Drosophila melanogaster: one gene and its partner. The protein of the gene in region 2 interacts with the protein of the main gene of each other region in a pairwise test. Each region holds a gene or a part of one and is shown on either strand. Other genes may lie near its edges.

Region 1 (16,951 bases), on a different chromosome or scaffold from region 2:
GAAATTAAAATTTGAAATTTCTCTCAGGATGCTGCTCGGCGGTAGATGATCTTAGGTCAATAGATTAAATATGATTAGGGAATTGAAAAGGCCCTCTTGATTTCTTATCAGCTATAGTTGCAAACAAATTTTTTCGAGTGCATTCTGCTGCCGCAGACTGAGGTTACCTTATCTATAGCATGAACGGGGGCAGAAGAGATGGGAAAGAGCCTGCTATCTATTTTACGTGATGCGAAGCGCTGCGGAATTCCCCTTCTTTCCCGAGGACAGCTGCAAGCCGGGGGGATAGTATTTTTTGAATGGGCTTTTGTGCCGGACATGGCTCGACACTGACGGGCTAATTCATGCCCGGACATAAAGGCGCCCATCATTCGGGTTTCCCTCGAACCCCACATTTCGTCCGGGGTGTGAAAGTGAGGAGCCAACAAAGGCCTGACCTCAGCCCACTTGTCAATGGCCTGGTTTTCGGCAAGGTGGGTTGCAATCGAGGTAGTCACATGTCCATGGCGCTGACAAATCCCTGACGAAGATGTCTGGCCAAGGAGTGCCGGGATTCCCAGATGATTGAGATGATTGAGGGCCAGCTTGAAGCGTACGCATGGGAATTCCTTGGTCATCAAGGACATTGCACATAAATTGGTAGCACAAGAGGGCCTTTTGAATAGGAAACGGTTTAACCAATCTCATATATACAATCAAAAAATTTAAAGAGTTTGCACTCCATTTAATATGCGTCGTAATTTTTTTCAGGTGAAATATGCCCCCAAGGTGAAGGTGAATGTGATGGGCTCGCTTCCCGGCGGTGCAGGTGGTTCGGTTGGTGGTGCAGGCGGTGGCAGTGTCCACATGAGCACCGGTTCCCGTATTGTGGAGCATTCGCAGGTGCGCTTGGAGTGCCGGGCAGATGCGAATCCCAGCGATGTCCGGTACCGCTGGTTCATAAACGACGAACCGATCATCGGCGGCCAGAAGACAGAGATGGTAAGTGGCGCTCCTCCTCCTCCTCCTCCTCCTGATTTTTCCTCGGCGCTTTAGCAGCGCCTCTCCTTTGAATCGTTCCCCCGAGATTTTAACTCGGAAAAACAGGTCCACATTCCACTTTGGCAGGCTGGCGCATAATTAGAGCAACTATTGCGATTAAAATGCTGCCCCTGCTGTTGTATAATGTTGGCAATTATATTGAAACCAGTTAGATCGCCACCGGAAAGGCCTAACGTTCCCACAATTAATCGCAACTGGAACTCATGGATCGACCCTCTCTCTTCCCGTTTTCCCATCGTTGCAGGTGATACGCAATGTGACTCGCAAGTTCCACGATGCGATTGTCAAGTGCGAGGTGCAGAATTCCGTGGGCAAGAGTGAGGACAGCGAAACCCTTGACATAAGCTGTAAGTAGTCCAGCATAATTTACAATTCATTTAAGATTTTCTGTATAAGGAGTACAAAAGTGCGACTGCGACTGGCATTTTAATGTTGAAACGTTATTAATATCCGAATATATCAGAATAAAATACAACATAACGTAAATTGTTGACATTTGTGAATTTCCATAAGTCAATAATATAGCTTTGGGCATCACACTTTTGGCAAACTCAATTTAGACGTTTTCCTTGCAAAACTTCAAACATGTGTTGAACAATGATAAATATTTAAGATATATATATATATATATATATGCATTAAAATAAGCCAATTTAATATATATTATTTATTCGTTTAAATTGCAGATGCTCCCAGTTTCCGGCAGCGACCACAGTCAATGGAGGCGGACGTTGGCAGCGTGGTGTCCCTAACCTGCGAGGTGGACAGCAATCCGCAGCCGGAGATCGTCTGGATACAGCATCCCAGTGACCGGGTGGTCGGCACCAGCACAAATCTCACATTCAGTGTGAGCAATGAGACGGCTGGAAGGTACTACTGCAAGGCCAATGTACCCGGATACGCTGAGATTTCGGCAGATGCCTATGTCTATCTGAAGGGCTCGCCGGCGATTGGATCGCAGAGGACACAGTACGGACTGGTGGGAGATACGGCTCGGATCGAATGCTTTGCCAGCAGTGTTCCTCGAGCCCGTCACGTCTCGTGGACGTTCAACGGCCAGGAGATCAGCTCGGAATCGGGACACGACTATTCGATTCTGGTTGATGCCGTGCCGGGGGGCGTGAAGAGCACGCTCATCATTAGGGACAGCCAGGCCTACCACTACGGAAAGTACAACTGCACGGTGGTCAACGATTACGGCAACGACGTGGCCGAGATTCAGCTGCAAGCCAAGAGTAAGTATCGCATACTAAAGTTATATAAAATGGTTTTTTTTTTCCGTTTTTGAAACGTACAATTTCTTAGTTAGCCCGTCATTAAAACGAATTTTCCCCCACTTTTCTTGTGTTCTTTGCAGAGAGCGTTTCCCTGCTGATGACAATTGTGGGCGGCATTTCGGTGGTGGCCTTCCTGCTGGTGCTGACCATTTTGGTTGTGGTCTACATCAAGTGTAAGAAGCGCACCAAGCTGCCGCCAGCGGATGTGATAAGCGAGCATCAGATCACGAAAAATGGCGGCGTTAGCTGCAAACTGGAACCAGGCGACCGGACCTCGAACTACAGCGATCTAAAGGTGGACATTTCGGGCGGCTATGTGCCCTACGGCGACTACAGTACGCACTACAGTCCGCCTCCGCAATACCTGACCACCTGTTCGACGAAATCCAATGGCAGCTCGACCATTATGCAGAACAACCATCAGAACCAATTGCAACTACAGCAGCAGCAGCAACAGAGCCACCACCAGCACCACACACAGACGACGACCCTGCCGATGACCTTCCTGACCAACAGCAGCGGTGGCAGCTTGACTGGCAGTATTATTGGATCCCGTGAAATTCGCCAGGACAACGGGCTGCCCAGTCTGCAGTCGACCACCGCCTCGGTGGTTAGCTCATCGCCGAATGGCAGCTGCAGCAATCAGAGCACCACTGCCGCCACCACCACCACCACCCACGTGGTGGTGCCCAGCTCGATGGCCCTGAGTGTGGATCCCCGCTATAGCGCCATTTACGGCAATCCCTATCTTAGGTCCTCCAACTCGTCGCTGCTGCCGCCACCCACTGCCGTTTAGGGTGGACCAGCACCGTCCACCACCAACACCACCACCACCACCACTGCCAACAACAACGATGACCCACTGAGCCACGCTAAGACTGATCTCACAAGGAACCGAGGCCCCGGCGGCTGCTTTTGGGGGGGTATCACTGTTCGTGGTGGTGCGTTTTTTCAGCTACCAAAAATTCGAATTGCTTAGGTTTAGGCACTTAGCTCACATACATCCGATTATATAGGCATAATCGTAAGCTGATCTTTAGCATCATCATTTCTATAGTCCTTAGGTCTAGGGTATTTTATTTTATGTTTTTTTTTTTTTTTGTCGTTTTTGTGTTCTTAGCTTAAGGATCTTACAGTAGGCTAATATCCCCAGTTTGATCTAGAGAGAGACTAAGCTTCAAAGAATGAGTGTTAAGCATTTACAGAACAAAAAACAAATCTTAGGAAGATTAGAAAGTTTTACTGCTTGTTGAGAAAACGCCGTAATGTACTAGTTAACTGATTGGGGATTTAACCTCCAGTTACAAGAAAGAAAAAAACTGGTTTTCTTGGGGGCGGGGATATGCGAGAGCCGTTTTGAACATGTTCTCTGATTTCATATAATGTTTCAAATATTATTTTCGATTCAAATATTATTTCCGTGTCTCTTATTCTCAAAACTTAATGCTCTTCTATTTTTAAAAAATTTGATTGCTATTTTTTGTACAGTGTACATGTGTACATGAAACTTTAGAACTATTTCGTAACGCGTAACTCTCCCAGAGATTTTGAAATCCCAAGAATATTCCTTCGTCAAAAACAGCTGCCCCTATATAATCCGCAAAAAATATATAGAATGGTAATTGAAAGAATTCAATTTTATGTATACACAGCTATAGTATATGCTAAATGTTAATGATATATATATATACAACAAGCATGAAGACATTCAGTTGAATGGATAGCGAGTAAGCGAACGAAATGCCAAAGTACCTGATAGTATTTAAGTAGGGGGTGGGAAAGTCTTTGGATCGGTACCGCCCGCCATTAACTTCTTCTGAATTATGTAGCATTATCTTTTCTCGCCGGAATTCTAAGCTATGACTTGGGATTCGATAGTGTGTTTTACGATTAAATAAATATAGAAGCTAGATCTTGACAGTCGCCTTAACTTATGACACGCCCATACATCTCAAAACGCCCATGCAAATATAGGAAAAGAAAACAAAAATGAGAGCGTAAACGTATTCAATTCGTCAGTTCAATTGTGCTAAGTGTACTTCTAAGTGTATAACGGTCTAATTATCCTAGTTGTAGCCTAACTAATGATAGACACGCATATTTAAAGTATAGAACCTAGCCCTAGATATACATACATGCATTTTTTTTCATAGGCCTAAGCATTATATTTTGATAAGCCAGCGTATTTCGTCTAAGGAGCCCCTGAAAAGTAAACATTACTATTTCATTTTGCTATATTTATTAGCTGTGGGTATTTTATTAGTGTCGCCAATTAAGCGCGAAACGAACAAATGTTTTTTGTTTACAAAATGCAAATGATAAAAGCAAATAAGCAGCATGAAACACACACAAAGTTAAACACGAAAACAAAAAGCAAAAAAAAAACTGAATAAAAATTTATTGAAAAAAAAAAAAAAAAAAAACAGAAAGCCGAGGAAAGCGAATTGAGAGTTGGACATCAAAGACGAAAGACAAATATACGGTAGGGGGCAAAAAACATTTTTAATTTGCCCAGGTCGGAAGGACCAACTGTCAGTTAGCTGCAAAAAGCCAAAAATCAAACAAACAAAAGTGAAATGAAAATGTTCCACCACTGGCACCACTTGCACCACCACCACCGCCAGTCATGTGTGTTAATTTATGGCAAGTCGACTCGCCGTTGTCGGAGCTACTGCACTGTGGAAAAAGGTGGGTATATTTTCGTATTTAAGAATGATTTGGCTTTCGAGGATAAGCAAGTGGTAAAATAAAAGAGGTTAAAATAAGAGAAAAAACGTCTTTAACTCTTTTCTGTATACTAGATTTGAATTCTATTATGTTTTTTTGCTATTGATTTATTTTAATTTAATTTTAATTTATTCCAGAAAACGCTTTCTACCATATTTTCACTCAGTGTGACTGACCAGAGTTGTGAAGTTGACAATGCAAACAAACGGCTCGCTAAGCTCGACTAAAAATGCTTAATGAGAGTGCGTAAGGGTGGCCCCCCAACCGTTGAACCACCCACCAGTTCACCACTCCACCCGCTTCCCCCTTTCCCACCCCAGCCCACCAGTTTCAGGACCCTTTTTCGCCGCCCCTTGAGGCAAGTGTTGGCCGCAAGAAATTCTGCGGCTATGGGCAACAAAGTCGCGCACGACGCCCATTAAACTAAATTAGTTGCCCTTTGTCACCGAACGACCCTCGCTGTCACACGTGGCTCGCTGGGGGCGGTGGGGTCGAATGTTTTGGGGCGGCGGGTGGTTCGAACATACGTGCACTTAGCCAGAAGGAAGTTGCAATTGCGGTTGGCTGTGTTAATTAGCGTTTTCTTTTTTTCCTCATTGCGAAAGCGAAGGGGAAACTCTCGAAAACTGAAACTAACGTGAGTTGGCAAATGTCAAGAGACTGGTGAAAGTAAAGCCACAGAAACTGACATTAGTTGGAATCCTTTTCAGAACCCTTTATGAAAGTGCACCAGCTTCACTTCAGTTTCTTTAATGCTAATGCTACTCTACTAAGGCAATATTCAATGCAAAGCCTTGTACACATTGATATTCACTTTGATATACTTGCATAGGAATATTCAATATATTTTTCCTCACATATGTATGCTTATAGTATTTTTTTTATTTATTTTGGAAAATTGCTTGGCGTTTCCCAAGCCCCCAACCTCGTTGACAATTGGCAAAAGTTGCGAGTAAGCTTCTTCAGAAACAGCAATTCGCATTGTCCGTGAAGTCGTGCGGAGTTTTGCCGGCGCGTTAATCACTCTGCAATCCAACATCCTTTCGGGTTTCAGGTTCCCTCGGCTCCTCTTTGGGATGACTTTTTTTTTCAAGGGGAGGACGGAGGACGGGACTGGAGATGGCGCAAAAAACGGACACGAGGCGCCCGAAGAGTTACGATTTCATTAACATGAGATATGGCAACTGCCAAAGCGCTGGTCGCTCCGAAGCCTTGGGTTTTCTTTTTTTTTTTTTGGGTACAGGATTGGGGGTTTGTGGTTCGGTTCGGTTCGGTTCGGTTCGGTTCGGGGTCGGTTCGGTTCGGGGTCGTTCCGGGGGTCGTGTTGGGCTGGTTTATGGCTCAAGTGTTGGCTTGTCGTCGCCGCTTGTGTCGCACTGCGTTGTTAATTGCTACAAGGAGAGTGGTCGAAGGAGCGACAGAGACAGGTGGATGGAAAGCACTCGGAAAAATCATTGACCCACTTGGAAACATGGGATCTCACGTAAATAAATAATATTGCAAATCAAAGAGGTTGTGTTTTCTTATGTGCTTTGAAAGGGTAGCTGTCGTTGTTAAGAGGTTCCGCTGAGAGGTTCCTCCTGAAATATAATGTATATTTTTTCTGTTTGATGAAGTTATCTTTGGATGATTTCAAAAAAAGGCTTCCTTTATTTGTTTGAGTGCACGGATAGCAAAAAGAGCGGCAGCTCAGGGTCGCTTCATATGATTAGCAAATGTTTTGTTTTTCACTATGCACTAAAAACCAAAGGAAATGGGAAACGCACCAGCTACCAGCTGGTGGTTTTTGTGGATGGTGGCCGATGGGCGATGGGCGGCGGCATTTTGGGTGCTTTTCCGTCCGTGAACCCTAACCCCAAAATGGCTGGCAAGTTTTGTGTGAGCCTTTATGCGGTGGTGTCGGTGGTGGGAGGTTGCTTAATGTTGGGTGGCCACTGTAATTGCTGTTCTATGTGTGTTTCCCCTGTGTGTGTGTGTGTGTGTGTGTGTGTGTGTGACTGAGCGTGGGTGGGTGTTTTTGTGTCCCAGTGTGCGTGGCCAGTGCGGGAGAGTTGAATTTCTTGAATTAATAAAATGTCTTCATTATTTAAATTGCACGCACGACCACAGAGGCGGAAAACCCGAAACCCAAAACAACCCAACCACCACTCAAACATATGTGTGGAGTCGCCTGACGTGCATATATCTATCCCCCAATGCGACTGTGTGTGTAAGCGACTGAGTTAATTAGCAGCTGGGGAATTGTGAAATGTATTAATATTGTACATTTCGGTGGGTCCAAATAACGAATAGCCGACCAAAAGCCTTGCCAATAAACCACAACAAGCCGTGTCGCAACATTCCATTTCCCACTTCGACGGTCCTTTTGTGGTCACAATGTCGCAATGTTGCTATGGTATGGTGAAGTAGCGGTTCTTTAACTTATTAGAGCATAGATTTCTGATCATAAATATTTGGCATTCTTATGGGCATATCAATAAAAAAGATGTTACAATACTACCCCTAAAGATATGCTATATATATTGTCATTGTCATGTTACGATTTAAACGATAGTATCGATAAGCCGAAGAAAGATCACTCATAGATGGCGTGTTTGAATTTGAAGACAATATCAACAGGTGTGAGATTAAATTTCTGATTGGAAAACATGTTTAGTAATTTGATAGCATAATACGTTTTTAAAGTGTAACTAGTCTTATTAACCAGCTTTTCCTGGCAACAAAATGTGATACAGCTGTTAGCAACCATATGTTAACGTTGATAAAAAAAAAAACTTTTTACGAATGGCTTGACAAGTAAATGCAATAATCTGGTCCTACTCTTGCAATATATATATATATATATATATAGGGAATCCATTTTTCTAATATGGAACAACCAGGCAAGTATAATCTATACAAGCTGCGTGTTAGATGCCTTAGATCTACGAAAGTTATATTGCATATATGCATTTCACGATTATTTAAGGCCCCCGGTGACCTCGATGGCAGCCCCATTGACGTATGACGATTGCGGGGAGGCCAAAAAGGCAATGACCTCGGCGATCTCCTCCGGCTGACCCAATCGGCCCAAGGGGCATCGTTGTACCACCTCCTGCTTTACAGAATCGGGCACAACCGCTACCATGGGCGTGTCTATGTAGCCTGGCAGGATGCAGTTCACACGGATGCCAAACTTTCCGAACTCCTTGGAGGCCACCTCCGTGAAGGAGATCACGCCCGCCTTGGTGGCCGCATAGTTGGCCTGGCCCACGTTGTTCATCTTGGCCACGATGCTTGAGAGGTTCACAATGGTGCCGTTTTCCAGTTTCTGCTCGATCATGGCCTTGGCATAGGCCTGGGTAACCAGAAAGGTGCCCTTCAGATTGACCCCGTATACGTCATCGTAGTCCCGTTCGGGCATCTTGAGCAGATAACCATCTCGGGTTATTCCAGCCGAATTGACCACAATAGTGGGTGCCTGCTGGAATTTCTTTAGGGCCTCGGCCACCGAGAATTGAACACTCTGGGCAGAGGAAACGTCCACCTCCAGGGCGGCAGATCGCTCAGAGCCCAATTCCTGTACGGTTTCTTGGGCCGCCTTTAGATTGCGGTCAACGGCGATCACTTTGGCACCATCTCTGGCCAAAAGGCGGCAGGTGGCACGACCAATTCCTGATCCGGCACCTAAAAACTCCAGTTTAGAAGAGTCCCATATAAAGAGCAGATATCAAGAGAAAACAAACGAATACACACCTGTTACCAGGGCTACTTTTCCAGCTAGTACTCCCACTGACATGGCTCTAAAAATGACTTAGTAAACAGCAGTTTTCACTTGTTTTCTCCTCAACGGTCGTGCGACAACTATATAATCACTAAAATATATCGCCGGCCAACAGCTGTTCCAAAGCTGATTGGCTATGAACAAATGAAACATAAGTGAAGTGGTGGAAAGCTTTTTACCACACGATCGTTGTCAGAGCTTTTCGGTGGAACCATATGTTTATCAAGAAAAAAATGTAAGAGTCCAAAGATCACAAAAGCGCTTAAAAAAAAAATTGTGCTTTGTATATGAATTTTATGTTTGTTTGCCGAAACATAGTTTTAGGCTCGTTTAAAAAATACGTCTACGTCTCTGATGGCAACTAAATGGAAATTCATTTAATTTGTCATGTTTAAAAATATTAATATTTTCCATTCATTTTTGCTTTAAGGAAGGCTATTTGATAGCCAACAGTATTGAGTACGAGCAATACTCAATACTCAGCAATTGTTTTTAGCCCAGCGCCCAAAAGAGTGTACGTAAAAGTGTTGTATTTTCAAAATGTTTGTATTTATTTCCGGTCAATAATTTCACTGCAGTGGTATTAGGTAGTACTCCTCCAGCTGGGGAGTCAAGTTCGCACTCCGGACACCGCTATATCCAGCACTCCGGGCCAATCCAAATTGCCTTAGGAGCTTCTTGAGATATCTCTTGGGTATTTTTATCAGCTGTCTTCGGATTATCCGCTGCACCCTGTTCCATGGACGACTTCCGCCGCGGTGATCGTCCTCGGCATCCTCCAGCTGCTGATCCTGTTCTGGGTCATCCTCTTCCTCCACCAGATCACCGCCATATTCGTCCTTCTGCGTTTTGAATTTTGCCAACTGCTCAGCCAGCTGTTTTAGCTGCTTCTCGCTCAAACGACTGAGGTCAACGGGATCATTTTGAGCCCGCAACTGGAGTCTCGATCCACAGGCTTTGGCAGAAGCCTCCGGAATTGATGGTAACAAGATTGAAACCACGATCAGTACGATCATAAATCGCTGTCCAGCCATGTTTGTACTGAGCCCCGGGCTAAACAGCCGCTTAAATACCCGAAAATTGCCCCATCATTCGTCACGATCTGATCTCTTTGGTGATTTCGTCCCAAAAATGTGGGTCAAGTGCGTACTTTTCACAGACTTTTGTTTTTTCTTTGATTCTATGCCCATAAAGGAGATTGTACCAACTATTGTTTTTGCCTTTCTTTGCTTCTGAAGATCAACGATCATTGATCTTTGGTGCTTCATCGCTGTAACCTCCGATCTTTAGAGGGATGTTTTTTGAAAAATTGTATAAGCAATTAATATGAAGATGTAAATGAGCCTAAAGTAAATTGTGGGTAAGGTATGTACTCAGTTTCTTCAGTTTAATTCCTACCTTACTTGCTATTCGCAACTATATTTTAGCCCGTTCTTATTCTCTTATAATCTTATTATTTTGTTATACAATTTACTATTTTTATTATTAGTATTATTACCGCGCAAAGATAAAGTAAGAATGCAGTTTTGTTATTCTTGAAGGGCTTTATTTATCGTTTATCCTGCCGCAGGAAGTGTGGCAGTAGCAAGTTAGGCTACAATAAATTAGAAAAAAAAATTATCTTGCCGGAATGTGTCGGATCGTTGGATCCTGACCTTGAATCCTAGATCCTTAGACGGCGGTGATGCGATTGCGACGGTTCTTGTTGCGATTGCGACGATTCTTCTTGTTGCCGTTGCGCCTCCGGTTGTTCTTGTTGATTTTCTTGGCAGGCACTCGCTTGCGAACCACGCGACGCTTGGAGACGGGACGACTACCGGTATTGAGCATCACCTTCTGGCCGTTCTTGAAGTAGCGGCGGTAGCGGGGTGGGATGCGAACGCTGATCACCTGGCCGCGGCGGGCGCCTTTGCGTCGCAGACTGATATGGTTATTGCTTTGGGTGGCCTTGCCGCCTTCGACGGTGGCTCCGCCAGTTCCCTGGACCTCGTGCTCAGTGGTGACCACCTCGTATTCCTGGGCGCCAGCGGCCAGGGCGGCCTGCAGAGCCTGCTCGTCCATCAACTCGGCGGGGTAGGCCTGTGCGGGTTGGGCCAGCTCCTGGTCCTGTTCTTGGTCCTGATCCTGATCCTGTTCCTGATTCTGCTCCTGGTCGTCATCGTTGCTGCCATATCGGGCACCCTTGATAATCGTTTGCCGTGCGCTCGATGTCGTCGAGGTGGGTGTTGTGGGCGAAGTGGTAATGGTGCCAGTGGCCGAGGGAATGGTGCCTGTCGAGGTCACTGTCACCGTGGGCGAAGTGGGTGAGGCTCCTGTGCTAGTCCCGGTTCCGGCGCCGGTGATAATGATCGGAATCACGGGTTGATTGTTGCTGCTAAACAGGTTCTTGAAGGTTAGGAACTTTTTGAGAAACAGCCTGCCACTGGAGGGATCCTTGGCAGAGGTCGATGCACCAGCACTGGAAGCGGCCTGGCCCACCTTGGCATCCTGGTCGACTTGACGCGACTTCAGGGCCATCTTCTTCTCGGGTGCCGCTTGTGCGGCCAGAAGACAGCATGCCGAAAGGATAACGATGGCGTACAACTTCATGTTGGATAAATTTATAAACTCTTTTGGGTCTTCGGGAAACTACTCTGGTTAAAGAAGAGAACTTTTCGGATAGACCAAAATCGCTGCGATTTCTGTTGCTCGCCGATGGCTGGACAATCAGGCTTTGATACTTTATCGGCCAGCAATGAGGCTTTTTATAGTCCCGCAAAATACGCTGTGGAATGCAAATAAGTAAGTGCCGAACGGTAAATCTGTGTACACAATTGAAATTAAATTGATCCGTGGTAGGGCTCAAATAGTCAAATCGCTGCCAGCTATAATGTATATTCTCCAAATTCTCCGTCATCATCATTCTGCCGGTCATCCCATGGGTTTTCGGCCAAGCGGAACGCCTTTGGGTTTTCGGTTTTTGGATTTGGTATTGGAATTGGGGTTTTGGTCTTCAGGTTTCTGCAGCGCCTTGGGCTTTTGCTAGAGTGGGCTGAAAAAAAGTGAAAATCTATTGAAATCCATTTCTAATTGAAGCCGTTGGGTCGAAGGTGGCGCAAAGCCTGCGAAAGTGACCCACAAAGTGCCATAAATGTGCGCCTAACGATCTTCAATATTCCACATGTTTTTATCTAATAAAAAAAAGGAATCATTCAATCTATGTTCTTTTCGTCTTTTAGGTGCCTGAAATAAATTATTATTATTAATATATTGAGTAAATACATATGAATGTATGTATAACTCCATATAAAATAAATAGCATTTTCCTGCTACTATCCATTTGATTACCGTGTTCCTATCGCATAAATCAAATCTTATCTAATACGGAATATAAATATGTGCGATATAATAAATATATATGTTGGATATATGTTGTTGGGTTTTATCGAGTAGGATAGATATTATGGGCTTATTAATATGAGATGATAGTTGCAATTCATTTCGAGGAGGCATATATAGAATATTCTTTGACTAAACTGAATATGAGAATAGTGATAAGACAATGCATTTTTGTTTTCTATATATATTCGCTTTATTTCAATCGTACATGTCGTGGTTCAGAGGTCATTGCTGGTCACTGGTCGCTCAGTTGCGGCGACGGTTGGCGCGACGGCGCTGACGGAGGCGGCTCAGGCGATTGTTGCGTCGCTGACGGCGGCGGGCGTTGCGATGACGGCGGTTCTGGGAGCGACGCTTCTGCTGCTGGCGACGGGACAGGCGGCGGCGCTTCTGCTGCTGGCGGCGAAGGGCACGACGGCGTTTGTTTAGGGCACGACGGCGGCTCTGGTTGGAACGGCGACGGGAGCTGGCAAGCTGCTTGCGCAGCTGCTCGTTGAGTTCCTTCTGCCGGCGCAGTTCGATTTCGCGCATCAATTCGCTGTTGGACAGATTCTTGTTGCCGGACGATCCGTAGGAGCTGCTAGCGCTGTTGCGACGGCGAATAGAAGAGGATGAGGATGCAGAGGCTTTGGGAGCCACAAGCTGGAAGCCGTCGTCCTCGTTATCGTCATCATCTTGGTCGTCCTCCTGCACTTCATCCTCGTCCTTCAGATACTTCTCTTCCTCCACATCCTGGTCAAACTCCTCATCGTCGTCGTCCTCGTTTCCGTCGACCAAATTGTTCTGGTTGAATGAGCGACGAGCGGTGGTGGTAGGGTTTGTGGAAGTTGTCGTGGGTGTGGTGGTTGTTGTGGACGTTCCAGTTGTGGTAGTGGGCCCAGTGGGTGAGGTCGTCACTGTGGTTGTGGTGGGCACAGATGTTGTTGTGGTGGCTGCCGGAGGACAAGGTGGGTTCTTCAGGGACATAAGCTGCTGTAAGCTGCGTGCCTCGATCTGCACTGGCTGCTTGAACAGGCGGTACTTGGACTGTTGGGCGGTATCCTGGGCGGACTCGTCGTTGGAACGGGCAACTGGTAATTGATGAAAACATTAATGTAGCTCATAAAACTCAATAATGGTCAATCATCTCTTCCGTAGTCCGCTTAAATGTCTCTACCTTAAGTAGTGACTGATATTTTCGTAAAACCGAGTAAAAACTAAACTCACCAGCCGCCTGGGCAATAATTGCTGTGCCCAGCACCAGCAGAGCTCCGTAGAAGATCTTCATTTTGTGGTTTTCCTTGGTATTTCCTGCGGAACTGGTCTTGACCTTAGGATTGGATTGGCTGGGACTCTGCCTGGGGGAAGGTCTTCGATGAACTGTGATATTGCCAGCGGCCAGCCGGGTTTATATACCCAACGCTCCAGTTGCGGATCTAACAACAACAATCCAACCCAGAATCGGCAACCATAATTCTCATTATCATTTCTTTTTCGCAAATTTGCACATTCGCCAAAGTTTTTGCATAAATTTTGGTGACCGCTTGCCGATCGTTGAACTAGTTTGACCCATGCGACATATATTAACCAAAGTTCGCTATAGTATTTCACTTGGAATCTGATTGATAAACACAGATTTCAAAATTCCTGCAATAAGTTACTAGGTTTTGCCCTCAAAACAATGACGTTCTGTTAATGCAAACTGAAAATGTTTATATACCAATGAATTTTTGCTTTCGAAGGTTTCATCACATAGGATCCTGGAAATATTGGTTCAAATATTTTTGCTCTTCAGCTTTCTGCTTCGTCAATACTCAGGATGCATAGGATTTTGGAAATATTCATTTAAAGGGTTTTTGTAACTAAGGATCATTAAATAGGCTTATATATATTATAAAATTCATGTTTTGTGAATTGCTTATGTTTAAAAATTTACAATTTTTATTTCAATTATTAGGCCGCTTTAGATATTTGAAGTATTACACAACGGTTTTTTTTCAAATGGCTAATAAAGATAGCACAGTTCAAAGCTATATTATAAAAAAAATACTACCTTCACTTTTAAAGTGGTAACCCATTTGCTATCTCTTTTCAAATCCTTATAAATCCTAAAAAAAAAAATGTTGAGCCAATGTGTCGGCTTTTTCACATAATTTTAAATTAGAAAACCGTATAGTATCAATTCACTTGGTTCGGGTTAATTGTGAATTTTGAGATTTTATCAAAGAGATTAGAGCTTACGCATCGAAGCTCGATTGAAAATCGTTTTCATGTTGATATGTTGATGGTGATATTTTGCAAATATATGAGGTATGATATATACCAGATACATTTGTGGATCCATATTAATATATGGATCCATATCAATATGCTCAAGTGACGAATGTCTTTTGGCACCCGACTCCCCACTTTCCCAAAGATAGCCACAAAAACTATTCTATCATTGCAATTTATTCGGTGTCGTTTCAAATCGATTTCCGGGATATCCCCGCCTTAGGCGCCGATGCGGATGACGCGGTTCCGGTTGGGGGTGCTCTGGCGGAAGCGGCTGACCAGGCGCATGTTGGTGCGGCGGTTACGGCGCTGGCGGCGCCTCTGGTTCTGCTGCCTCCTGCGGCGCTGCTGCTGGCGACGCTTCTGCTGCTGGCGGCGCTTCTGCTGCTGCTGCTGGCGACGGCGACGCTGCTGCTGCTGGCGGCGGCGGTACTTCTGCTGCAGACGCTGGCGCTGACGGCGGGCGTTCACCTGGCGACGGCGGTTGGCCTGCGAGCGGGCCACCTGGGTATGCTCCTCCTCGTCATCGTTCTGATCCTCCAGCTGGAAGCGCTGATGGTGGCCCAATTGTTGCTCCTCCTCGTCGTCGTCCTCCTGATCATCGAGCGGCTCCAATTGGCGAGCGGTGGTGGTTCCAGTGGGTGAGGTGGTGGTGGGTGTGGTTGTGGTGGTCGATGTGCCGGTTGAGGTGGTGGGTCCAGTTGGCGAGGTCGTTACCGTGGAGGTGGATGGCAAGGTGGTGGTAGTGGGAGCCGCTGTAGTGGAGGAGCTGCTGCCCTTCAGGCTGTTTAACAGATCGGTCAGCTGAGTGGCGCTCAGGCGTCCTTGGGCGGCGGGCTCATCTCGCTGGCGACCGAAGATCTGGAAGTTCTGGGGCTTGGCTGTGAGTTAGATAAAAATGCGATACATTGTTAATCACTTTTGATAATCTCGCTGTTTGTTAGATCACCCACCGCTGGCAAAGGCAGCCAGGCACGCCACGATCAAAAGTCCCTTCAACAAATGCATCTTGAGTTATTTATCCTTTAGCTTGGCTGGAATCTGAGTATCTCTTGGATGGCTGAGCTGCTGTGACTGACTTCTTGGGTCGATCCGCGGCATATTTATATGTAACCATGGCCCCTACATAGCCCTAGTTCCCTAGAGGTTACAACAAATGGACTTGTTAAAGAGAAGGAACATATGCAAAAATCAAAAAAAAAAAAAAAAAAGAGATGTGTAAGCCGAGCAAAGGAGACAGAGCTAGTTTGTTTTTGGGCCTACGAAGAAAGGGCAAAGAAAAAGCCAGCCTATTGGCGTTGTAACCGTTTTGCATAATGCCATAAATAATCGCGATCTGACCCGTAACCTCAGCCATCCGATCGATCGCCGCTAATCATTTGCATATAGCTCGCGAATCGACACCATTTGCATATTCATATTCGTTTCTGATTTTAGATACTCTGTCTTTGGACAGCTTCTCTTCCACCGAAGGGCGAAAGTGGAGGTGAGGTGTCAATGAACCGCATAGGCAGTGACCCCCCGAGAATTCCGCGGAGAAAGACATTCACACGTTGGGCAACGACAGAGTCGCAGATCTTACGAGACTAAGGCTTGGTTCTTAGATAAATGTAGCATCTTTGGTATCCTAAGCTGCAGTTTTTCCAATAGCACAGAATGTCCATTTAGACCAATGTGACCCAATACAAATTTCTTGCATCTAATCTAAGTTGGTGTATAAAATCATGGGGATATTTAGAATCTTAGTTATCTCATATGATGACCATGGTTTCATCCATTGTTTTGTCCAATTGTTTGTCATAAAGTCTTTCCATAAATCAAGACTGATCTATAGGTATAGATTACATACAGAATTCCATTTCTTACTGGTTTAGATCTTAATGCTGCAATGATCTAACATTGTAGTTTACCCTTCGCTATTTGTTTTCGTAATAATGAAAAAAAAAAATTTGCTTTTTTTTTGCATACAAGTTCAGTTTATTTCGGGGGTTCTGGGATCGGTTGGGGATCTGGGATCAACTCCTTAGTTGCGACGTCCGCCACGACGACGACGGCGCATGAGGCGCACGAGCCGGCGGCGCTGCTGCTGGCGGTGTCTGCGCTGGCGTTGCTGCTGCTGGCGGCGACGACGGTTCATGTTGTTCCTCCTCTGGCGCTGGCGCTGGGCCTTGGAACGGTTCCTGTTGCGGCGCTGGCGCTGTGAGACGCGCTTACGGCTCTGTTGGCGCTGGCGGCGCAAGCGTTGCTGGCTTCGCTTCTCGGCGGCCCTCTGGCGGCGAAGCAGGGACCTGATCCGCTGGTTGTGCTCACGCTGGAGGCGCTGGATTCGGCGACGGTTGCGCTGTTCCTGCTGGAACTGGCGCCACTGGAGTTCCGAGGGGCGGACCAACGAGCCGGACTCTGAGGACTGCTGCACGGCATTGCTATTGCCACCGGCGGAAGGAGCGGCCACAAAGTAGCTCTCCTCATCGTCGTCATCATCTTCGTCCTCCAGGCTGTCATCACCTTCGTC
Region 2 (16,523 bases):
ATTGGGAATCATACAGTGAGGCTTTCCTTGCAAAAACTATTACGTTTCTTATATATTTCCTTGTTATAATTATAATAAATTCATAAATTATAATTTTTGAAAAAATTTTGTATTTCAAAATTTTATTCTCTTTCAAAAGATAAATTTACTAAATAATATTTATTTAAGGCTGAGTCAATTTTTGCATGACTTAAGCCAAAGAGATATCAGTCTCTACTTTTTTGTACATTAGTAATAATATAAAATTATCACATACGACAAATATATATATTTTATTGAAGTAATGCAAGTAATGAATAATGCATTGTTTAAGAAAAAAAATTAACGAATTTAATCTGTAAGAGTTGAGTAAACTTAGTAATACCCAGTACCCAAAACAATACTATGTGATCTAAAAATGTTTTTAGAACCCAAGTTTTGTAGGTTCCGAATTTAAGGGAGTCCAAGGCGCGAGAACCAGAAGTTAAGTGTCCATGAAGATTGAAAGATAAACACTTTTCACCCTGGGTTTTTCCGACGCCCTTTAGAATGTGTTCTACATAGGGAGGATTGGCTGTAGCCGAAAGGTAGACGGAGAGGGATATCGAAGGAGGTGGAGCGAGAGAGAGACAGCAGCAAGTGCTGCTCAAACTGCTCGCCAGTGGCTCTCAAAGCGTGGGCGGTTGCCTTACGTTGTTTGCTTTTTCGCATTTCATGCTCATTTCGGTGTTCAGTGCTCATTGAGTCTAGCCCACGTTCGGTTCGCGGTCCGCTGGTCAAACTCATGATAGTAAAAAAAAAAACAAAAACGAAAACAGCCGAAAACACAAGACACAAAACACAAGTAAGCCGGAAAGAAACTGGCGAGAAGAAAGTGTGCAGAATTCACAAGTAGCCGTTATATAAGTGGATTTAATTATCTGATTCGGTAATAAAAGCAGATTCAAGACAAAGGGGAAACCCAAATGATAAACAAACAAATTTATGGCGGATATAAACAAAATTTTTATGCGTTTCAAATCAAACACGATTGCTGTCTACGTGCTCTTTGGCCAACTTACATACTGTTTCGGTTTGATTAGTCAAAAGTTCACTGATTATGTGCTCGCTCGATAAATGATATTGCACTCGCCGCGGCTCACTGAAAAAATTCTAATAATTTTCTAACACACCTTATGCCATGGCATTGTTTTTTTCAATTGCAGGTTTTGCGTTTTCCCTTTTGCCACCAACAGCTAATTGCATTAAAATAAAACCAACAAGTTGTTCTGCTGGGCGTAAATCATTGTGTCGTTGTCGCTGACACTCGAATACTTATAGCCAGATGCTGAAGCAGCAGCAGCAGCAGCAGCAGCAGCGACAATAACACCAGTAATCAGCACAACTATCGACGACAATGGCAGACATCGGACATCAGAATGCGAGGCGTCAGTGATTAAAAGCAGTCGGAGAGGCCAGCCAGCCATCCAACCAGCCAGCCAGGCAGCCCCATTGGCACCACGAGCAAAAAGCAGCTGAATCATCAGAACTCGGAGGAGTAGTGGAGTACTAGTTTCGCGCATCTCCTACTACAAGCCAGCAGAATGAGCTCCAAGAGCAGACCTTCATCGGCGGCGATGTTAGTTAATGCGATACCCATGATACTGCTGATCACCTTATCCGGCCTGACGATCGTGGCAGGTTGGATGCCCGACGTGAAGCCTGATTTGCAAACAAGTATGTGGCAGTAGTTGGAATCCTTATTCTTCAATCTAACTTTATAACTATTTGTTTATTTGTGTCATTTGTTTGGGTTTTTGCTTTCCGGTCTTGTTGCTGCTGGTTTATCAATGACAAAAGCGAGGCTGTTCAAGCTAAGCTCCGATTTTCCAAGCTGCTTATCAGGCGGAATTTTCGCAATGCCAGCAGCAACAAGCGCTAGCATTTCCTCTGAATCGAGTTAAACAGAAATTAAAATGAAATTGTGCAAGATCTCAAAAAAAAAAAAAAAAAAAACACGAGTAAACGCACAAGTTATATAATCCCAGCAGTCAATAACATTTCACTTTGCTTCTTTCTTTCTTTGCAGAACAAGACAAAGTCCTAGCCCATTTTATAGGCAACTCGACGGACTATTTCAAGATTTTGGACCACAACGATGAGTTTGTTCTAGTTGGTGCCAAGTGAGTGAATTTCTTTAACATTCTTTTACGATCCCTTTGATTTCTGGCAAGCAATAAAAAAGTTCCCGCTACCGAGCAAGCTACCTGTGCGCAAATAAACTTGGCACGAACACGTTTAAATATTTATAAAAACACAATTATACAGCGTCCGATTCGGAATAATTAGCTCGCCATTTGGCATTACTTTACTCTACCGATTTATTGGCCGCTTGGCTTGGTATTCGTTTTTCATTAGTGGCAAGTGCAAATCTAGCATTTCTCATTCCCTTTCCGGGAAGTCGAAGTGATTTGGCATTGGCGAGATACAAAGGTCTGGAATAAATAACACTTGCTCAGTTTCATCCATATAATTATATTGCTCATGAACAAAGTTAAGTCAGAAGGCATTATTTTTTTTATCACGTTTCAACGAAGTCTGGTATATACATTTATTAACTGAAAAATATTAAATGCATAGGTTTTTCGATAATGTACATTTTATAATTACCATTTACATGAGAGCCACGCAAACTACCATTTGGGTGACTAATAATCAGCTATCGGCGATCTGAAATGGACCGACAAATGCAAACCAGCTTTCGATCTATCATATTTTTCTTGCGCCCCAGACGTGCTGGTGCCATAAAGAACATAGCAACAAATTAGCAGCAACAATAATTAGCCACTTAAAACGCTGAATTATACAATTGTGTACAAGTTCTAATTATTTGCACACAGGCAACCTTGGGATATGATTGTCGGCGGGGCGTAAAAACAGATGCGGTCAAAATAATAGTAGTGTGCTCTTGAAAAAGCTCTAATGCAAAGTGAAGAAATAATAATACCCTGGGCTGTCGCTAATGAAAAAACACGTTGTTTATTAATTGTAAAACTTGCTAACAAGTGTTTACTTTTTAAGCTTTTGATTACTTAAATAAAATGAAATGTCGCAAAATCGTTGCTTAAGGCTAAGGCTGTATTAACAAATGTATTTGAGCCAAAGAAAGTAAGGTACTTTGCTTACACATCTATCAATAGTTCTTATTCAAAACTATTACTTTAACCGGCACTGTTCAGTCAAACATTTGTATGCTCCTGTCACGAAGCTCTCAACTCACGGGTTTTTTGTCGTTTATTTTTGGTCACCGTACTTGGCTGGCTTCCATTCCATTTCACATTCTGGGCAGGCACACGCCATCGGCGTATTAATTCTCGCATTTGTTTATTCAATTGTTCTCTATCTCGATTTGCAGGGACGTCATCTACAATGTGAGCCTAAATGGCCTGAAGGAGATTGCGCGTCTGGAGTGGCACAGCACGGATGCGGACCGGGAGCTGTGTGCCCTAAAGGGGAAGCACGAGTGGGATTGCCATAACTACCTTCGCGTCTATGCACTGCGTCCCAATGGCGAGGTGCTGCTCTGCGGCACCAATTCGTATAAGCCGCGCTGTCGTCACTACACGCCGGTGGAAGTGTCATCCGAGGAGGCCGGCTCTGCTGGTCACGCCCATGCCATGCGCTACGAAGTCAGCCGAGATGTGGAGGCCCAGGGCCTGTGCCCCTACAGCCCCGCCCACAATAGCACGTACGCCTTCGCCGACGGGCATTTGTACAGCGCCACCGTGGCGGACTTTTCGGGTGGAGATCCTCTCATCTACAGGGAGAACCTGCGTACCGAACAATATGATCTCAAGCAACTCAACCAGCCGGACTTTGTTGGCGCCATCGAGCGCAACGGTTACGTGCTGTTCTTCTTCCGCGAACTCTCAATGGAAGTCATGAACTTTGGCAAGGCCGTTTATTCGCGCGTCGCCAGGGTTTGCAAGAACGATAGAGGTGGTCCCTACAGTCACGGCAAGAGTTGGACTTCCTTCCTTAAGGCGCGACTCAACTGCTCGGTGCCCGGCGAGTTTCCGTTCTATTTTGACGAAATCCGTAAGTTTTAATAGACGTTTTGGATATTCTTTACAAAAATTATAATCTCAATTGTTGCAAACTCCATTTACAGAGGCCATTAGTCCGATTGTGGAGAGCGGATCCAAGTCACTGATTTATGCTGTCTTCACAACCTCTGTGAATGCCATTCCTGGCTCGGCCGTATGCGCATTTAACGTAGACGATATACTGGCCGCCTTTGATGGAGAGTTCAAGTCGCAGAAAGATTCACAGTCCCATTGGCTGCCAGTGGAGCGTGAGCAAGTGCCGAAACCACGTCCAGGACAGTGCGTTGAGGACTCTAGAACTCTGACCAGCATCGCGGTTAATTTCATTAAGAACCATCCCTTGATGGAGGAGGCTGTGCCAGCAGTGCACGGTCGTCCGCTGCTGACCAAGGTGAATCTGCACCACCGACTTACTGCGATCGCAGTGCATCCGCAGGTAAAGTCCCTAAGTGGAGCTTACTACGATGTTATATACAGTGGCACCGATGACGGCAAGGTGACCAAGTTCATCAATATACTGAGCACTCACCCGAACTCAACTGTTGATCGCCTGAAGACAGTGGTTATATCAGAGATGCAGGTCCTTCCACTTGGAACGCCAATTAGGGAATTGGTGATCTCCACTTCGAAAAACTCGTTGGTTGTGGTTAGCGATGGCAGCTTGGTTAGCGTGCCCCTGCACCACTGCTCTCACATTGTCGACTGTCTGGGCTGCTTAAGTCTCCAGGATCCCATTTGCGCCTGGGACTTACAGACACACGAATGCAAGAACCTGGCTACGAGTCAGCACAAGTTCGGAACAAAGACTTATTTGCAAAGCTTGAATAGCACCAAGAAAGCCGCTGCCTTGCTATGTCCTCATATTCCCCGAGATGCACCCGGTGCGGAAACAGTAAGCTTTGTTACCATGGCTCCACCGCCAACAGAGGAGCAGAAGCTTTTGTACTCCAATGTGGGCTCGTCGCAGGGCAATCAGCCAAGCTTGGAACAACAGCCAACTGGTGGCGATGACTTTGGTTTGAACAAGATCACCCTTACGTCCATGGATCCCGACGATATTATGCCGAATTTGAACGGTTAGTACTAATATTTATTTTCCTAGGAATATTGTGGTTTAATATTCGCATTTCGTTGACAGATCCCCAAAAGTCTACGGCCAGTGTAGATGAAATCAAATATGCTTCAACGCCCAGCTTCATGCTACTTACAACTATCGTTTTCTTTACCTTCCTTGTGGGTGGAATCGCAGGAATATGCTGTGTGAAGGCTAAGAGCCGCCTGATGGAGGCCCAAATGGATGAAAGTCACCGCAATCATTTCGGCAAGCCAATGTAAGTTTTATCTTGGAAGATGCAAATCCATATTGGACAATTCTAATTAAATGGTTTTGACAGGCAATTTAAACATCAAAATACTGGCAAAGACATCAACCTGTTAATGGGCTCCAATGCCTATACGACCACACAAAAAACACCTAATCTGGATTTAGAAAAGGATCGCAGTCATGAGTGCAAAAACTCCACGGAACATTTGGAAAAAGAGCTGCCCTGCAAAACGTCAACGCTGACAAAAGTGAAACGCACTTACATCTAGTGGCCTTGTGAGGGCAGCCAACTGCAAAATTAGTCGAATTTCTATACTCTAAAACATATTTTCGTTGTTTATGTTGCTGTTAGTTATAGTAACCCCCCACCCAATTTGCGAATAATGTAAACGACAGTCTCGGATGCGTTTGAAACGCATCCGAAAGATAGGAAGCAGAGCTGTTGCGTCTTTTTTACTTAGCTTGTATTGTAATTTAATTTGATGTAAAATTTGCGTAAGCTTAGTTTCTTTGTCAAAATTTAGTTAAATTTATTGACAACGTAGTGTGCGGGCTGCCGCAGCCTGGAGCTAACCCGAAGCATTCCGCATTCCCCTGACGTCGACCTTTGCTGTCCAAAATAGGAGTGCCGGCTCTTGGCTACGCAGCCCGATTGTGTCGCCCCTTATGTGTACTCTTAATGTATAATCTTTAAGTGCAAATATTAGAGCTGTACAAATTTAATCACATATCATGCATACCGAAATCGAACCCGAAGCGGACCAGCCCCAATTATTTCTCGAAATTCAATCGAATATTCAACAAGTATTTTGTTAGACTGAATGATTAATTATTCTATATGAGTTTGTTTTGTGGAGAACTAACAGAATGCGACAGAGACTTTAAAGCTCTATGCTTTGTGGCTAACAAAAGCGTAAAATTGTATCTAACATAAGCTCTATAAGGAATTGAACATAGAATGTAATTAAAAGTACGAACTAGGCTAAGAAACGAAGAAAACTTCTATGAGGCTGTTTGATAAGAACTGACACCGCAGCCCCCACATCATCAGATGGAAAAACGCACAAGAAAGCGAAAATAAATGAACACTGCAACAACAGCAAGCCTTATAAATAGTATAAAATCGTGTCGAATCTAGGCCTTAACGCTAAACTTGTAAGCTTTGGATGGAAATAATGAGCTTGGTTGGCAATCAACGTAAATCAGCATTTTAATAATTTTATGTTTAATTTCTAAGCTGTTGTCCGTCCCACTAAAGAAGTTGCATAAATACAATGTACAATGGCAATTTTATTTTTAAAACGTGTAAAATGCAATTTTCATCGTAATTAATATATTTTTATACGTATATGTACGCCTAATGTCTAAATCTTAACATAAGAAAGTCTTAAAAATGGAAAATCCCGATAAAAGCTATATATAAAATATTTTTAAATCTTACAAAAAAAAACGTAATGTAATGATTTCTCATATTGTGATAGATTTTATTGAAATTTTAGAAAGATGAAATGATATGCCTTTTGGTTGAAAAACAATGATATATATGACGAACGAGTCTGATTGCATGCATGATAATATTGCGTAGGAATGGGTCTTCCACTCGGAGGATCAAGAACCAGAGAAAACCCTTCATGGTGTTTAGTTTTTATTACTGTGTATGTCCTTGTAATGTGTATATTGTTGTATACATCCGATAAGCAATTCGTAAATCTAATAAAGTCGTCATTTTTTTCATAACTCAATGTGGTCTTTTAATAGGTTCGGATCTATGAAACATTGAATTTTTACAGCAAATATGGTTTGGTTATATTTATTGAAATCAATCATTTTTCCAATAAAGGCTAATTTCAAAATTTGAATAGTTTACGATAAAGCCTTTCGCGCCGAAAAATGATCGATAACTTCTGATATGGCTCTACAATACATCAGCCTCGTGATTTTCTGAATAAGATTCAACGGTCACACCAGGCACTACACTTTTGGCGTGTTGCACATTTCAGTGTTTAATTAAAGTAAAAAGCCCAGGTCGCGGTTATATAACAAAATGAACAGCCTAAGGACAGCAACCATGCGATTTGCCGCTCTGGCCAGCTCCAGTGCCGGATCTCTCGGCAAGCGCGATTTCACCCGCAGCCTGTGGCACATGACCAAAAAGCCGGTGACAGCCGGAGGATCCGATCATGTAACCGTGTTGAATCTCCACAAGCCCAGCATTAATTGCACGTGCGGCTGCAACGTGCACACCAAATGTAAGTTAACTCAACAAATTCTTACATGGGCGGTCCATGCCGCCGGTTACATAACCTCAAACGTTGGGTGACGAAATGTTGACCAAAACACAGAAAATTAAACGCTTTGTTTATATCCAGGTGAGCGGGAACTGGTGGAGTTCCTCACCGAGGAGATAGTGGCCGAGCGCAAGGTTCAAAAGGGCAAGACGGTGCCAAGCACCCTGGATGGATTCGCCGTAAAACTGACCGGCGCCGATGTGGAGCTCACCAAGCAGACGGATAAGGAAAAGGTGGTGGTCAGCTTCAATGTGAACCATACGGTGGACAGCGAGGAGGAGCCCGAAATCAACCCCAATGCTGACAAGCCGGATCTCGGTGAAATGAGAAGCAAGCCCCAGTTCGAGGTGGACATCATAAAGGGCAACTCTACGCTGTCCTTTACCTGCAGCTTCCTTCAAGGCGAAGCTCAGGAGGGCGAGTACAGTGAGTACTTTGACAGAAATCGTTTTGATTCACCGATAACACAGGTTTTACCTTTCAGACGATGTCTTCTCCATTGATGAAATGGCCATCTTCGAGGGCGAGTGGAACGATAAGGTCTACGCCGTCGCAGGCGACGTGCTTGACGGTTACTTGTACGACTTGCTGATCAACTTGCTGGAGGAGAAGGGCATCAGTCAGGAGTTTGCCGAAAAACTGTCGGACCTAGCCACTGCCCATGAGCACACTTCCTACATTGGTCTGCTGGAAAAGCTCTCCAAATTCACTGCCGGTGGCAAGTGAATGTTCGTCCCACTTAATCTTAAAGCATAAAGTTGTGTAGGTTTTTAAGTTTCTATTGTCTGCTGTCGCAGTTTCATCACCTAAAACAGTTTTTATTAGTTGTGTTTTTGGTTTAACTGTGACAGTGAAACTTAGTTTTTAAGCCATAAAACATTCATACATGTTTCAGATAAAACTATAGAAACGGTTGCCAATAATTCACCCTTTTCGGCATCAGCTTCGCTTTGGTTTTTAACAAATACAACGTTAATTCCCTAGTTTTTTTTTTTGTTTATTTTCTTTCTATGGTTGCATCGATTTTTCGTAAAGATTTTCCTGTGGGTTGAGTTTCGTGATCATTTAGAACTGCCGGAAATATGGCCTGGGATCGTAGTCACTTGGTCGGTATCCTCCCCAGTCCTCGTGGTTCTTGCAGGCGGCGCAGATGAGGAGAGCGAGGAGCACGAGGATTGGCAGCAGTTGCATCTTGATTAACGGCAAGTTAACTTTAGATTGTGGTGCTGCAGCTTTTAATGCTCCTCTTTATAGGTGAGATTGCCTCACCTTATCGTTGAAATAGTGACCTTTCTCTTGGGGAAGTACTCCGATCTGTTTATTGGGCGATGGGATTTACCATTAATGTACGACCTATATGTGTTATTGTTTCACAATAAGCAGGATTATCAGCGTGGAGGCCATGTAATGTCATACTTTGTCATTAAGATGGATTTTATATATTTCGTTAAAAAGCTTTTTTTTATACGACCAATAATAAGAACTGCGACCATTACCTAATCATAGGCTTGTATATACTTCTAAGAAACTCAAAGACGGATTCTGTCTGAATATAACATTTTTTATAGTTCGCTACTTGAACTTATTTATAAAACATTCACTAAATAATTTACATAAGGATACGAGTCATGGAACTAAACCAAAGCTGCTTCTGGTACTTGGTAGACCTAGGCTGTTCCTCCACTCTGGTGTCGGCGCTGATTACCGGTGAGGTCATTGTGTCCCGGGTTCTGGCCCACTGTGGATTCAATGCCGTTGCCAGGATGCTGGAGCTGCGTAACGGGTCAACTTTTTGTCTTGGGTTGCGTCTTTCCGCCGGAACTACTCGCATTGTCGTACTCCGAGCCGGTGCAGTACTCAGATCCGACCTCCCGCAGCTCAATCTTTTGCTCCCTCATGGCGCGCTAAAGGTCAAAGATTGGGTCAACCAGCTGGATGATGAAACTTGAAACCTGGGCTTACCTTGACGCACTCCTGATAGACCCGGAAAATCGGCGCGCAGCCCGAGTCATCCGTCTGGCCCTTAAGGAAGCCTTCCGAGAACCAGCTGTTGAAGCAGGCGTCGTACTGCTTCTTTAGCTCATTGCAATCCTCGCCAATGCTGTTCATTTGTGGAGTGAAGCTCTTTGAGTTTCAGTTATAATTTCTCTATTGAATAATAAGTCGAAAAAAATGTGAGAATGGTTTGTGTGAGGGTCATACTACAGATAAGCTATCAGAGATGTGGGACACAGCATATCGATGTACGTTTCGTTGAAACTGAACGTGCTATCGAAATTTGAATTTTCAATTCTTTAAGAACATCTAATTTATTTTAATAAAGGCACTCTGGTTATAACGAAATCAGTTGTCCATGTTTCATGATGATACTATTAACAGTCAAAGTACTACGAAATGTTTCTCTTTACAAGTATTTTGTAGCGCGTGCAGCCACCAATTAACGCTGGCGAGGATTAGGATGGCTATATGGAGCAGCTTACGGGGTCAGCTTTCGCCCGCCTGCTGCTGTTTTGCATCAGATCTATTCGCATTATTCTCCTCAAGCCCGGTTTCGAAGATCGGATCTATCTCTTGCAAATCGATCTTCTTCTCCTTAATAGCGCGCTGGGGATTACAGGTTGGTCAAACCATACGTGGTTAGGGAGCCGATTAGCTCACCTTGACGCATTCCTGATAAACCCGGAAAATCGGAGCACACGCTGAGTCATCCATTTGACCTTTTAGGAAGCGTTCAGAAAACCAGCTGTTGAAACAGGCATCGTACTGCTGCTTCAGCTCGTTGCAATCCTCGCCAACGCTGCTCATTTGTTTACTAGGTATATTTTGGTTTTAATTTATAATGCCTATTATAGAGTTCCGAAAAAATGTGACAAAGGTACGTCGAACGGTACTACTGAAGAAAAGGTTTCAGAGATGTGAGAAAAAAAGAGCATATCGATATCCGAAGTTTTGCAGAAAACGAAGCTTGTCATCGAAATTCAAATGTTATTCTTAGTTTTCTTAAATTTTCAAAAGCCAAAGTGTTAAGCCGACTAAAATAATACTCTTGTTAGTACATATAAATTTAATATTAGTTGTTGGTAAAAATTTGCAAAAAAAAGTCACTGATTTTGTGTCTCTTGTTTTTAAGGTTTCTTTTTCGGTTTTGGGTTCATACAAAATGTAGTTATTAGTATTATCATTTAACGTAATGAGCGCTGAAACAAATGTTCGTGTGACTTGGCTACAACAATATGCAATGGACATGATAAAAACAGACCTCCGACCCAGCCTGAAACCGAATCGGAGGCCTGAAAGCATGTGACCCAACGTGTTGTCCATGGCCATTCCATTTTAATAGTCGAAGTGCTACAAATTTGATCTGTTTAAGTTTTGCTGATGTTTAAGCTAACGCTCGCTAGAGAGGATGGGCTGAGGTTGCAGCAACGTCTACTCCTCGTCGATCGTTTGGACTTGTTGCTGTTGCTGCTGCTGCCTATCTTGGTTGTTCTTGTGGTGCCCGCGCTGGTTACGGTTCCGGTTGTTGCGATCCCGCCGCTGGCCGAGCCAATTGCCGCCCTGGTTGTTCTGGTTGCGGTTGTAGCCACGGTCACCGCGATTGCCCATGTTGCCGCGCTGGAAGAAGTTGCCCTGCTTCATGTCGAACACCTTTTCGTTGACGTCCACCAGATTTGTGACCTTGTCCACGAATTGCATGGCCAGGGCCTGAAGACGCGATGGCTCCGAACGATGCATACCCACGGTTTCGGATGGATCGTCCAGGCTGGCCATGAGCTCCTCGTTGATGATCATCTTACTGATGATGGAGTGCACTTTCGGCACGGGCAGCTCGTACATCTGCGCCAGCGAAGGAATGCTGATCGAGGTGTAGACGTTCGAGTAGGTGAACAGGTAGGTGCGCAGCGATTCTTCCTTAATGAACTTGGTCAGCATCTCGCGCACGCGATCAGACTCGTAGAAGAGGTCCCACACTTTCGTGTTCATCTTCTTGTTGACAATGAAGTTGGCACACGCCTGCCAGTTGCCGCAACGCATAGCCTTGGCAGCAGCCACGACATGCTCACGCATCGACTCTGGTGGACCCACCAGTGATTGACGCTCCGAGGAACGCAACTGCTGGTAGAAGGTCTTACTGATCATGCGGCGGCGGGCGTCGAATTCATGGGCGGCAATGTAAGGAATTTCGAGCAGCATAGCGGACACCAGGTAGACACATTCAAGCAACTCAAGGTTGATGTGCATATGGAATGGCATCTGGCGTTGCTTCTCGATTTTCTCCTGCTCGGCAGATCGCTCGTGCTGGCGCTGAGGCAGCAGTCCTTGAGCGAGCAGCTCCTTGGGCTTGCCGGTGACCATCAAGTCCACTAGACAGTGATGCGCATCCTTGACGTTGCCCTGGCGGAAGGCACACAGACCCAGATTGGCCATCATACGGTTGTACAGGATGCGGGTGGCGGGATCGGCGGCATCAATGTTGTCCTGCAGATGAGACATCAGCACCAAATCACGGGCCTGGAACCAGTTGTCGTGCATAGCATGATGGTAGATGTGCGCCAGGATGGCCCTCGTACGGATACGATCCGTATCGTCCTTAGCGTAGATGAATTTGCACAGCTTATCCATCACGTCTACGGAGGTGGAGGTAGTGGCTGGCAGCTCACCGCGCTTCTTCTTCAGCACCTCCGGATCGAACTTATAGTAGAGATGTTCGATCTTGCGCAGGTAGATGCGACAGCGCTCGTTGTTGGTGCCAGAGCGCTCGAAATACTGCAGCACCAGTTCAATAGTCTTAACCACGTTCACCTCGTCCTTCAGCCGGGACACGTAGTCGTTGGAGTGTGGATCGCATTCCTTCAGCAGCTTAACAAATTCGTCATCCAGGCGCTCCACGGCAGCCAGTGGGCATCCCCTCACATAAAACGGTGACGTAGCGTACTCCTCATGCTCCTCGGCCACGCTCTCGCTCATAATAATGTCGGCGTTGGCCAGCAGGAGCTTCATCATGCTCTGCATTACCTCCAGAAGCAGGGCCCAGTGTTCTAGCTTCATGGGCTCGGAAATCTTCTGGTTGTAATCGTAGATAGCCGAGATGATGTTAAAATGAATCTTCACGGAGACGGCGGTTCCCAGGTTGTGCTGATCAGAGATGTCCCTCAACTCGAAAAGCAGATCGATCTGCAGACGGCGATCGGTGCGCTTCTTGCCGCGAGCCGACATAATTTCCAACAGCTTGGCCAGCACTAGGGGAACATCGATCTCTGCGTCCTTTTCGAACATCTTGGGCTTCTCTACTACATGACCCTTGACCACAGTCTCCCACTCGCCATCTTCATCGTCCTCGGCGCGCTTGCGGATCTTGGTCTTCTGCTCCTTACGCTTGTCCTTCCTCTTGTCATCATCCTTTTCCTCCTTTTCGGTAGTACGCTTCAAGAATCGCTCGCGCATGTTCTGATACTGGTTCTCATCGTCAGAGGACTCGGTCTCCGATTCAGAGTCCGAGTCCCAATCAATGGAGTCATCGGAATCGTCATCATCGGCGGGCGCAGCCTTTGCCGGCGCGGACTTCACAGCTTTCGGAACCGCTTCTGTAGGCTTCACTCCGGCGTCGCTGTCATCACCAGCATCGCCGCCGTCGCTCTCCAGGGCAACCACCTCGTCCTCGGCCTCGCTCTCCTGGTCGGGTGCTTCACGGAAACGCGACAGATCGTCCTCGAAGTCCTTGATGTACTTGCGTACCTTCTGGCGCAAAGTGCCCAGCGACTTGGAGTTGTTCTTGGAAAGGTTTTTCCTGCCCTCGCGATCCTCCCACACCTCGTTGATGAAGTCCTCCAGCTCGGCCAGGCAGCGAATGTAAAATCGCGGCGTAATGCCGTTCTCCTCCTTTGAGATGACCGGCAGTGCCTTCTGGTAGGCGCGCGTCAGATCCTCGAAGCTGCTCAGGGTATTGGGAATATCCTTGATTTTCTTGTGGTTGCGAATGGTTTTGATGATGCTGGTGAGGTTCTCGTAACGCTTCTCCTTCGTGGAGCGGACCACGCGCTTGACCTCCTCCTCATCGTCGCTGAATTGCTGTTTTCCACGGAAAGGAATAGATTAGTAATGGATGAGTTTCACATCTGGGCGGCACTTACGAAGGCGCTGGCTTTGTTGAAGTTGGTCGCTTGGATCTCCTCCTCGCTGGACTCGGACTCCGATTCGGACCCGTTGGCAAAGAAACGCGACATCTTTGTTGACTTTCTACGCGGCCGTTTGTCTGCGCCTGGAATCACAATTTATTAGTTTCGGGCCACATAAGATTTTGCTTTGTTGAGGTTATGTTTGAGCGGCCAACATGGCGTTTTGCAAAAACGTATGCCAAATATTTCCGCATGACATTTGGTTGTTTCATTCGAAGCCCTGGCAGAAATCGGTTCACTGCCTTGCTTTTTAAGTGTTTACTACCACCTGGCGTTTGATATTTCACAATAAACTTACTATTTTACAGCAAAACTAAACGATGTCGAATGCACAAGACATCAAAAAGAGAGACTAGAGATGGGCGATGGTTGCATGTGTTTTCGTTGGCGATATATATTGCTCAAAGTCACGGGGCGGGGCGTTTGATTTATGTATTAATAATAACTGTCATGTTGAGAAATGATTACTCTCTACTAATATTCGTAAGGAGAGCGTTTTAAACATTTTTTTAAATGTAACAGAACATTTGTTTTTTTATGTGGCGGACCAACAGTTACCGAAATCTATCCCATCTCTAAGGGAGTCACTGTTTTGACTGAATGCGAGCGCGTACTCATCGATAACGAAATGCCGGCACTTCTCGAGATATATCGATATCAAGTAACCGGTTGGGCGGTACATTTAAAATAAATCCATTAAATTACATAGCAAATATATCATCAAAATGAAATAGTGGCCATTTAAGTAACTATTCAAAATAATGTTAAAAAGATAATCAGTGATCAATGCTTACATAGATGTTGCATTGGTGACCTGCAACATTTGAAGTTGCCAGCAACATGTTGCTGCGCTTGCGTGCAAAAGTGCCGGCATTTCTTAGCCAAACAGAGTGGGGTTCCCATTCTGGCGCCCCAACCAATCTCCGGATCAATTGGTCCGGCCAACATGCAGCCAGGCAGCCAAGGAAAGGCCAAAGCAAAACCAAGCCAAACGTTTTCGCGCGCGCCAACAAGTCGCATGCGTTCTCTCCTCCGCGCCGACGGACAGTTCAAGTTCAAAAACTCAATTTTTCGGATGTACTCGGCGATTTGGCAGCGTTGATGCCAATATCCGGCGATAGAGTCTCAAGTGCTTTTGCGGCCCGCTAAAAAGAATTCAATAAATTCATTCATTTGAATTCTTGTGTGTTGTGTTGTGTCTTGGCGGTGTAAACAAAATTTGGCCCAAGTGTGCGGTGTGTGCGTGGCATGTGCTCTGCCCATCCACATCCTGTTTAAGTGGCATCCTAAATGAGATGCGACGCCCGGAATCGCTTGAAAACACGAGTAACACGGAAAACACTTTAACGCAAATGTAAGCATAATAAATAATAACTGCAGATTGATGGAGATGTGTGTATCTGCGGTCTCGGAAATGGCAAATTAAAAATTGATCGGTTAATCTCGCGTAATCGCCCTTTTCCTGGCTTTTCGACAGCTGACATTCGAGAGTGCATATGGCGGCTTTATTATCCGGAGAAATTGATGAGAGCTCCATAAATTCCCTGTCCGCCTATCGACATTTGAATCCGTAAAGGGTCCGTGAAATAGTACGGGTTTCTGCTCCTTGACTCCTCCGAAACTGCAGCTGCAATCGTAAATTGTGTGTGGGTGCAAAAGCTTATATGCATTTACATACATCCAAATCGGCAAAAACGGGCCCCTTTTTCCTGGGGTTCTGTTTCTGTTTCCGTTACGCTTTTGTGCTGTTTATTTTGCTTCCGTTTTCCGTTGGATTGTTACGGCTTGTGCGGCCCCATAAATCCTATATATGGGTTGGATATTTTCAAAACCGATGCTCGAAACAGACTATAGAAATTTCCATTTAAATGCGATTTCTGCCCTTGCTCGAGCATAGATTTCCTGTTGATTGAATACAAATGTTGAGTTACGCAATTTCAATGAATAATTCCTAATAACTACTCCCACGTTCCTGCCTCCATTTTAATTTAGTTTTTATTGATAAAACCGATGCACTTCTTTTTCATTCAATTCGTCATCATCCATTACACAGAAAAAATGGCTTTATATTTAGATAAATATTTTCCTGAAATAAAGTATTTCTTATTCGATAATATTATATTTTTAATAATTTGCCTTCTCTCAATTTGAAAATATTTTAATTCCTATGGATATTTTAATATAATGGAGCATATTGTAAAATTAATGTCCGCTTACTACAAAACTCTTTTGCGAATAAATTGAATAGTTTCTTTCCATGCACTATAAATTCTGCGTGTTTTTCATTTCAATTTAGGAGGAGCAGACATAAAGGTTACAGTCGTAATCAGAATCTTGAGCTCATGTTTTATTCGGGGATTTGGACAACACCCTTTTCATGCTGCACACTGAGTTTCCACAAGACGGAAACTCCCAAGCTAATGAAAAACCAGGGAAAAAACCCCAAAACAAGCTAAAGCCATGGACAGGAGCACTTGAGAATGCACAAAAATGACTGGGTGGGAAATAAAAATGCAGGCGAAATCCCAAAGTGCATCGCTTGTGGTAGCCATTTATTTGCTTTTGGCAGCTGGATACGTTAACGTGGCTTTAAGGTGCCATTAGCATGGCCTCACGATCGTGAAAACTTGTGAGGCAAAACAAATTTGCAGCTCTTGGAAAATATAGTCTT

What was found.
Region 1: the proteins of CG30109 (region 2) and CG3603 interact in a two-hybrid assay, tested with the Drosophila melanogaster proteins (one large-scale study listed by BioGRID).

What each region holds. Positions count from the first base shown.
Region 1 is NC_004354.4:2,939,978-2,956,928, reverse strand, and holds CG3603 (uncharacterized protein), read right to left. Parts: upstream 8,896-16,951; 5' UTR 8,824-8,895; coding exon 8,781-8,823; intron 8,712-8,780; coding exon 8,005-8,711; 3' UTR 7,809-8,004; downstream 1-7,808. Other genes in the region: rst (roughest), read left to right, coding at 751-981, 1,286-1,388, 1,728-2,276, 2,399-3,114; CG17959 (uncharacterized protein), read right to left, coding at 9,378-9,824; CG14423 (uncharacterized protein), read right to left, coding at 10,480-11,397; CG14422 (uncharacterized protein), read right to left, coding at 12,433-13,256, 13,393-13,453; CG14421 (uncharacterized protein), read right to left, coding at 14,659-15,320, 15,393-15,447; CG14420 (uncharacterized protein), read right to left, coding at 16,463-16,951.
Region 2 is NT_033778.4:17,663,444-17,679,966, reverse strand, and holds CG30109 (uncharacterized protein), read right to left. Parts: upstream 9,886-16,523; 5' UTR 9,786-9,885; coding exon 9,639-9,785; intron 9,581-9,638; coding exon 9,461-9,580; 3' UTR 9,219-9,460; downstream 1-9,218. Other genes in the region: Sema1b (semaphorin 1b), read left to right, coding at 1,563-1,695, 2,048-2,141, 3,374-4,056, 4,130-5,140, 5,203-5,395, 5,459-5,657; P32, read left to right, coding at 7,433-7,637, 7,758-8,102, 8,161-8,402; IBIN (induced by infection), read right to left, coding at 8,742-8,867; CG30108 (uncharacterized protein), read right to left, coding at 10,161-10,280, 10,335-10,481; eIF3c (eukaryotic translation initiation factor 3 subunit c), read right to left, coding at 11,106-13,745, 13,808-13,900.